Linked DNA regions of Danio rerio. The protein of the gene in region 2 interacts with the protein of the main gene of each other region in a pairwise test. Links are inferred from orthologs where the notes say so. Each region holds a gene or a part of one and is shown on either strand. Other genes may lie near its edges.

Region 1 (3,830 bases), on a different chromosome or scaffold from region 2:
TATAAAAGTGTATTTTAATGATAGCAGTATCTGTAAAGTGACAATTATAATAGGGTAATTGAGAAAGTAAGTGTAAGTATTTTAGCTTTACTTTTTAGTTGGTTACACAATGTAATGTGATTTTATATGCACATAATGTATAGCATGGCTTACATGGATACATTCACAGTATGTTTTCACAGCCTTTGATATGAGCTAAACACTGGGCAGGATGTAAATATATCAATATTTGGAAAAAATTGAGATATATACCATATATTATAGAGAGATATGATTTGTGTTTGTTATAAATGTACTGGCATGGGCCGCTATAAGTTTCTGAAGGTATGATAACCTTGGATAAAAATACCACGGTTTCTTGGTATCGTGATTACTGCTTTAAAATAAGTTATTTTTAAATGTCTGGGTAAAACAAAACAAAAATTAAACACAATTTACTTTATTTTAAGAAACATTTATATATTTTGGAACAGTAAACATGCCAGGCTAAATAGTCTAAATAAATAATTGACTTCTGCTCTCTTCACTTAATTAAAAAAACCTTATATTTACCTTAGAATCGGTATAACTGAACTTTTTAGCAGTATTAAAACCTTAAGTTTTCCAAACCGCGTAAACCTTAAAAACGGTTATCGTCCTATGCCTATAAATGAGACACTTACATAATGAACTCATTAGGTTGGCACACTGTTGTGGCTACACCTCCCAGGACAATCCACGGATTTATAACCGTCTGACCACCTGTTACAGAGGTCCCTGCTTCCTCTGATGCATCCTTAAACCCCTGGATGACCAGCGGCATGACCTTATCACGCTCCTACAACACACACAATCAGATATTGAGTCAAAACACATGCTTAATATGCGAGATAAAGGTGTCAGGTTGTGTGAAAGAATAGTGAAATTGTTCAAATGTAATAATGATAATAATACATTTTAAATGGTTAAATGCTGCTGACAAATGGGAAAAGCACAGTGGTTGGAAGGATATCAGCAAAGTTAAAGTCCCCATGAGATCAAAAAGTACTTTTTTCTTATTTCTATACTTATATAGTAGTTCTTATTATAAATGGTGTATCTGTGCTATTCATTATTTAGTAAAAATCTGTTTGCCCTAATAAACTTTAATCAATTACCAAAACCTTCCATGCACACTAGAAAAGACTTTTCTTCACGTCCTGGTCACATGGAATTCATTTAGGGCGTGCATATTAGTGGGTGCCTCTTTTCTGCTCTGAATTAGTCCATTCGTCAATCTTTTAAACAAATAAAATTGTGTATCAGCCTACATTTTTTCTAATTTCATGACCATTTCAAGTGGATTTGCTGGTCATATAATTAGAATATCTTCAAACAGTTGGTTTATTTTACTAATGCCATTCAAGAAGTGAAACTTGTATAATGTATATATTCATTCCACACAGACTGATATTGTTTCAAGCATTTATTTATTTTAATTTTGATAATTTTGATGAACAAATCAAAACCTTAAATTCAGTGTCTCAGAAAATTTGAATATTGTAAATGCGTTCATTAGACACAAGGAATGTGACAGCTGAAACCCATGTCTTGCATACGTCTGTGAGTAGTGGTTCTTGAAGCACTGACTCCAGATGCAGTCCACTCTGTGAACCTGCCCCACATTTCTGAATGGGTTTTGTTTCACAATTCTTTCCAGGGTGCAGTTATCCCGATTGCTTGTACACGTTTTATCTACTACATCTTTTCTTTCCCTTCGCCTCTCTATTAATGTGCTTGGACAGAGCTCTGTGAACAGCCAGCCTCTATTGCAATAATATTTTGTGTCTTGCCCTTCTTGTGCAAGGTGGTCATTTGGACAACTGTCAAATCAACTGTCTTGATGGAGGACAATTATAAACTTCCGTCTATAAGATGTCATCATCAAATGTTTTACCATTGTTCTAAAGGGCCTATTACTTTATAAAAAAGTATGAACTATCAACCGGGTTTTAGTCACATCAATCATTTAGATGCCCTAGACACTTGTGTATCAAATATGATACAGCAAGCTTTTAAAAACAGATACTTGTTTGCATTTTTAGGCTAGCTGCTCCTTAAAATAGCATACATTAGATGCACAAACACACTTTGCCTGTACATTTACATATCAGTTTCGCATCTCACCTTCTCTGTGAGCTTGTTGCTGACACCGAGCAGCATCAGCATGTTATCGCATTCTGTTACTCCCATGGCGTATAGGTCACTCAGCACATTGGCACAAGCAATTCTTCCCTAGAAAGCCGAGAGAATTCATAGAACATCATATTGAGCACCTAATGTGACGTATTCTCAGACTATGTTAATCTGAAGTCAGTGTTTACCATCATATATGGATCATCCACTATGGGGTAGATGTAGTCTGTGGTCTGTACAAGCGACAAGCCTCCATGTCTCAACGGGATCACGCAGGTGTCCATACCAATGCCTGTTTTAAATAAACATGAAGACAAAAAACATCAATTTGATGTTTTAGAGGTGTGTATAAAGTTTTACGTAGTCTTCAAGCTTAAATGTTTATGCAGAAATGTGTTTTTAAGGGTGACAGTCTTAAAGGAATCCTACAGGGTGACAGATAGGATTATTTCTGGAGAACTATTTACTTAATTCACCATGAAATCCGATTTAACTATTCTTCTTATTAAGGAATACTACAGTAGTTATTGCAAATTATTAATCAGTGCACATAATTATTTTTACATTTTCATGTCTTAATAATAGTTTCACCTCACATTTGCAATAGAGTGCTTACTAATGCAGGCCAAAATAACCCGTCACTAACATAATATCCACCAACAGCATCTACAATAAACCATCCAGATGGACAAAATTAAGTGAATATTTCAACAACTTTTCTTGATCAATAAGTCATTTCACTTGGCTATATTTTCATTCACTCATTCATTTTCTTTTCAGCTTAGTCCCTTTATTAATCCAGGGTCACCACAGCGGAATGAACCGCCAACTTATCCAGCACGCTTTTACACAGCGGATGCCCTTCCAGCTGCAACCCATCTCTGGGAAATTGGCTATATTTTGATTTAATTTATTTTATTCCTATTTCTGCACAAAATTGTGTAAAAGAAAATATGTAGATTTATATAGAATTCTTATTTGAGAGTAAAGAAGCTAAAAACTTAAAATTAAAAATAACAGAACCATTATTTAAAGTTTAACATCCAAATACAATCAAAACACTTATCAACAAAATAAAGAGATAATTAAAAAAAAATTTATAAATGTATGTATTTACACACATTTAGCTATGTAATGAAGAAAAAATAGAACAGGGACTACCGCAGCTTCATGCTAGTATCTACTAAATTATTAATCATTAATTAATACATTAATCAACACTTTTAGCAAATGCTCCTTGATGTCTTTAAACAGGGTTCATACATATTTTACAACTAAAATTCTATGACTTTTCCAGGACTTTAAGTACATTTTCATGATCTAATGTTTCATCCAATGTCTACATATAAATAAAAAGAAAAACAATGCACATTCAAATATATCACAGCATATTATAAAACACATAAAAATCTGCTTAGTTTGCATTTATTTTTATATCTATGTCAAATTTATTTTAAAAATGCTTATACAGCACTAATAATGTAAGAGCATGTGTAAACAGAACAGAAAAGAAGTAAAGACAGCTGACCTAAATTCAAGTATACAGATAATTGTTAAACTAATTTCCATGACTTCTTCAAAACTTTGTGGGTTCTTCTGTTTTTCCAAAACATTTCCAGGCCTGGAAAATGTCATGTCAAAATTCCATGACTTTTCCAGGTTTTCCATGACTGTAT
Region 2 (4,333 bases):
GCAGAAACGGCTGTAGCGATGATATCGCAGAGGCTTTCCCACATGGGCAAACATGTGCTCCTGCAGCTGGCTTTTCTGAGAGAAACGGAGGTTGCAGACAGCACAGGCCATCTTTCTCTTTCGCGTGAAGGCTGCCAATGGGCTAGCGCTCCTCCCAGTCCCACCACCTCGCCTGAGTTCAACAGCCAGCTCATCAGCCAGGGCTTGACTCTGCCGTAGAGCCTCCTCCAGACTACCAGAGTCTATAGGCTCCTTAAGAGGCCGCCTTTCCTCCAAGGATGCGTGTTCCCCGCTTTTGTCCTCTGACGGGCCTTCCATCAGTGTGCTAGACTCGAGGGCGCAGGCTGCGTGGGTAAAAAGGTGCTCTTGTAAGCCTTCAGGTGACAAACAGCGTTCCCCACATCGAGGGCACAAAAGTGCCAGAGGGCCATCTCTGAATAGACCCGCTTGACAGGGGCTCACCTGGGCTGGGGAAAGAGCTGAAGACTCTTTGTCTCCTTCCTGTTGTTCTTCCTCTTCTACCCGTTCCTGTTTGATCCGTGCAGAAATGTCAGAGTCGTCCCCCGAGGCCACCGAAGACGCGGCATGAAAGCTTTGAGGGTGTTGCTCAGATGCAATGCCCTCCAGCCCTACAGCGAGTGCTAAACGGCCATGTGTGCGATCGGCCCGTGTGCTGGAACGCCCGTCCTCAGGGTCCCGTGAGCCACCAGCCTTCAGGCCCGAGTTTTCTTTGTTGGCCAGCTGGGAAGAGATCTGGATGCCATACAGATTGGACATACGGATGGCATCAGAGGATGCATCAGGACCACTCTCGCCTGCTTTACGGCAGAGCTGGTACGCATGGAGGAACTTGATGCCTTCCTGAAGTCTGCCCTGGTCTACAGGTTGTTTAGGACCCATACCTGTGTACATGATGTGTAGCAGATAGCTGAAGACATCAGGTTGAATATCTGTGGGCTGGATCTTGATGCACTCACTAAGAATAAGAGAAAAGTCATTTAAAATAGAGTTAACAATTTATTTTCCTTTAAATGATGGTTAATAATTATCATTTGGTCAGATGGGTTCTATTAACATGCAAAGAATGCTTTTTCTATCAGTCATTTTGCATACAGTGGCGATCACATTGTTTGGTCAGGCCTGTAGCCAGGGAGGGTTTGGGTGGTTCCAAAGATCCACCTTCCACTGACAAAGGTGTAGAATTTGTCCCATACATTTTTTGAAAATGTTACAAATTTTGAAAATAACCCATAAAAGGCTTTAAGAGCAAGCGGAATCTGACATAAGTGACGTCATCTTTCACTACTGACCTACTATATTGCTAATTAAAGAAAACATTTTACAAGGAACTTTTATTCTAAATTATTGAACTTTATTCTTGAAAGAAAGAAATCACCTATAAATAAGTGTGAAGCACCAAAGGCGGACCGTAATACAGTTAATTTGAATACTAATTAGGCTATTGTTGTTATCCAGGAATTTTCAAAAGTACTTTTTTACAAGAGACGCTAGAAAAATCGGCAAGCTCTACAATATTATTATTATGTTTTAATTGTTCAGTATTCAAATGGCCAAATTCTTACTGTTGAAAATTGAATGTGCTGCTCAGTTTGTTATTTGCCTTATGAATGACACAATCAGCTACAGTTTTTAATTTAAAACTTTAATAGATTAATTTTCCCCCGCCAATAATATATGTAATAAATTTGTATTTTAAAAATAAGTATTTTCTACATATTTCTTTATTCTAAATCTTTAGTACATAAATATTTTTACTACATCAAAAAGTGTGGTTATGATGACCATCCGACAAGCTAATCTAGCTAAAAATGGCAGTACTTATATACATAAATAAGTAGGAAATATAGTACATAAATAAGTCCTTACTGATAGTATATAAATAAGTAGTAAATGAAGTGAATACCTGCAAAAAGGTCCAGTTTTTTTTTTTTTTTAAATAAAAGAACCACACTTTTTACCAGCCTGGCTACGGGCCTGTTGGTACTCTCTTGCATTTGTCTTTTATGGACAACCAGCATTTTAGGGGGACTTATTAGGTTAGTTAGAAGGAAAAGTTAGTTTCCCAGTTAAATGTGGTGTGTCTAATAATTAAGTAACTTTACCACCTGGTGACATATTAATACCAATGACTAGGAAGTATCTGAAAGTGTTCTCTGATTTTAATCAGTGTTTTTTTTTCAAATATTAAAATAATATAAAAAAAATAAAATTACATGTTTTATACTGTCATTTATAAGTAACTTAAGAAATATGCTTAAATGATTATTTCATTGATAATTTCAACAGGGAATCAGCAGTGACCTCAACATTTGTGTAAACTGTAGGATGTTTTCCATTTTCAATCACCATTGTATGATCAATGACCATTCAATCCAGAACTTACACATTAGAACACTTCAAAATAAATTTGAGTTCACCTGGACTGGTGGATAAAGATCATTTTGAAGTAGTTTGAGAAGGCGGCGAGGACTGCACGATGAGCCTTGAAGTATACGTTGCCAATGGCAACAGTGCAGTCACACAGAAAGCCAAACTCCCTTTGGACGTTCAGCTGCTGCAGGAGGAACAGACTGTGGCCAGACACGTCCATCTCAACCTGTTGCACAGAACATACAAACACCGAAGACAATTGGATTCCTAGGCAGAACTTGAACAGACAACTCATGTTGTGTTACTGTAGTGCCATTTACCTTGATTAATCAATGTGATTTAATCAGCTAACGTTTCTAGTTATATAAATTATGTATCTTATATTTAATCAAATGCAAATACAATATTTTTACTTTATAAAGTCCAATTTTTCTGTCTGTTTATTTCACATCACAAATTTAAAAAATTTGCTCTCTTTTGTTCATATCAAGTACAACAACCTTGAGAAAACGTATTAATAATATTTCATGAAATATATTATTAGATTATTTATCAAGTTTTAATTGTAATTGATTTTAATATTTAAAATGTTTTTGTTTTTTTTTTGTGGAGATCCATATTTTCCTAAGTAGCCTACTTGATATGCTAGAATCAACCGATTGAGTCTCTCAGAGCCTGACTTAGTGACTGGCGACCTCTATCGATCAAAATAGCCATAACATTTTGACCATTTCTGAGACGAACCAGATGTTTACATCTGGCTAGAATTGCCCATTTTAAATAGTGAAACGCATCTGTACTTACATTCTCGCGTTACTTATACATGCTATCCGGTGATTTGCAAAGAAGTATTCTGAAGCGGTACGTTCTCCTAAATGTGTGTAGCATTGTGCAGAAGAATGGTTCATTCTATCGATTACACTTTACTTAATATGCAACGACTGGATTGCGTTTAATGTTTGCGGTTTACCTTTGCAGGCAAACCGGGATCTGACAATACCTGTCAGGGGCTCTTAAAATCATTACACAAAAAGGACATTTACAAACAGCAATTGTTCGTCGCATAGAAAAATGTCATGACTGAATGAATGGATAATACCCCCACACCGTGTAGAAGCTACTAAGCTCGTGTTTCTCTGATATTTTTGTTCTGATTACCAGCAGATCAGTCCGCGACAGAACCATAATAATTTTCACACGTCTGGTCTACACCGATCAAGTGTTGTCGAAGAGACGGTGTACGTTTTCATGCACCTTGGCCAACAAAACATGCATGAACCAAAGCACAGACACAATGCATTCACACGGTCCCAATAAAATGCATTCTTACCAACTACACGAGAGAAAGGGGGAATAATTTCGTGTTTGTTGCAGCAGGAAAATTCTCTTATGGTCTCGCGCTTCTTCCTATGCGATTGACGGCTTAGCTTGTTATCCGTCACGTGACCGTACTGTACATTAGCTGATCCAGACGAACGCATAGTGAAAACATACAAAGCAGGCGCCCGGCTTGTATTTATGTGCTCGTTTTTTGTTAATTTCTGTCTAATTGGAGCTCCGTATAGCTGCTTTAGCCTTGGCTATTGTCTCGCTGAACTAAAAGCGTGAAGTATAAAACCTTTGACGACTTGCATGGACGAAAGAGCAAGCCGGCAGTGTTTTGTAAAGGGTCTTACAGACCTGAGGGGCACACAAACAGTTTTAGATAAGTTTAAAATCAATATGCAAATTCACGTCATTATAAGGTTTCCTCAAAATGGTATTAACCATACTTAGAGACAAGTTTAACGACATTAATAATTGCAAAAAAAACATTTATGTTGATTAAAACATTTTTCACATATCCTAACAGATATGATGAAGTGTCTATATATATATATATATATATATATATATATATATATATATATATATATATATATATATATATATATATATATAT

Evidence for each region.
Region 1: the proteins of zbtb25 (region 2) and sephs1 interact in binary tests that used the Homo sapiens proteins (3 or more experiments, as listed by UniProt). The two-hybrid records come from large-scale screens. The link is inferred for Danio rerio from reciprocal best matches to the Homo sapiens genes ZBTB25 and SEPHS1.

The regions. Positions count from the first base shown.
Region 1 is NC_133193.1:9,553,992-9,557,821, forward strand, and holds part of sephs1 (selenide, water dikinase 1), read right to left. Parts: intron 2,447-3,830; coding exon 2,343-2,446; intron 2,254-2,342; coding exon 2,146-2,253; intron 818-2,145; coding exon 663-817; intron 1-662. UniProt on the Homo sapiens protein: Synthesizes selenophosphate from selenide and ATP.
Region 2 is NC_133195.1:30,436,712-30,441,044, forward strand, and holds the start of zbtb25 (zinc finger and BTB domain-containing protein 25), read right to left. Parts: upstream 2,844-4,333; 5' UTR 2,687-2,843; coding exon 2,439-2,686; intron 977-2,438; coding exon 1-976. UniProt on the Homo sapiens protein: May be involved in transcriptional regulation.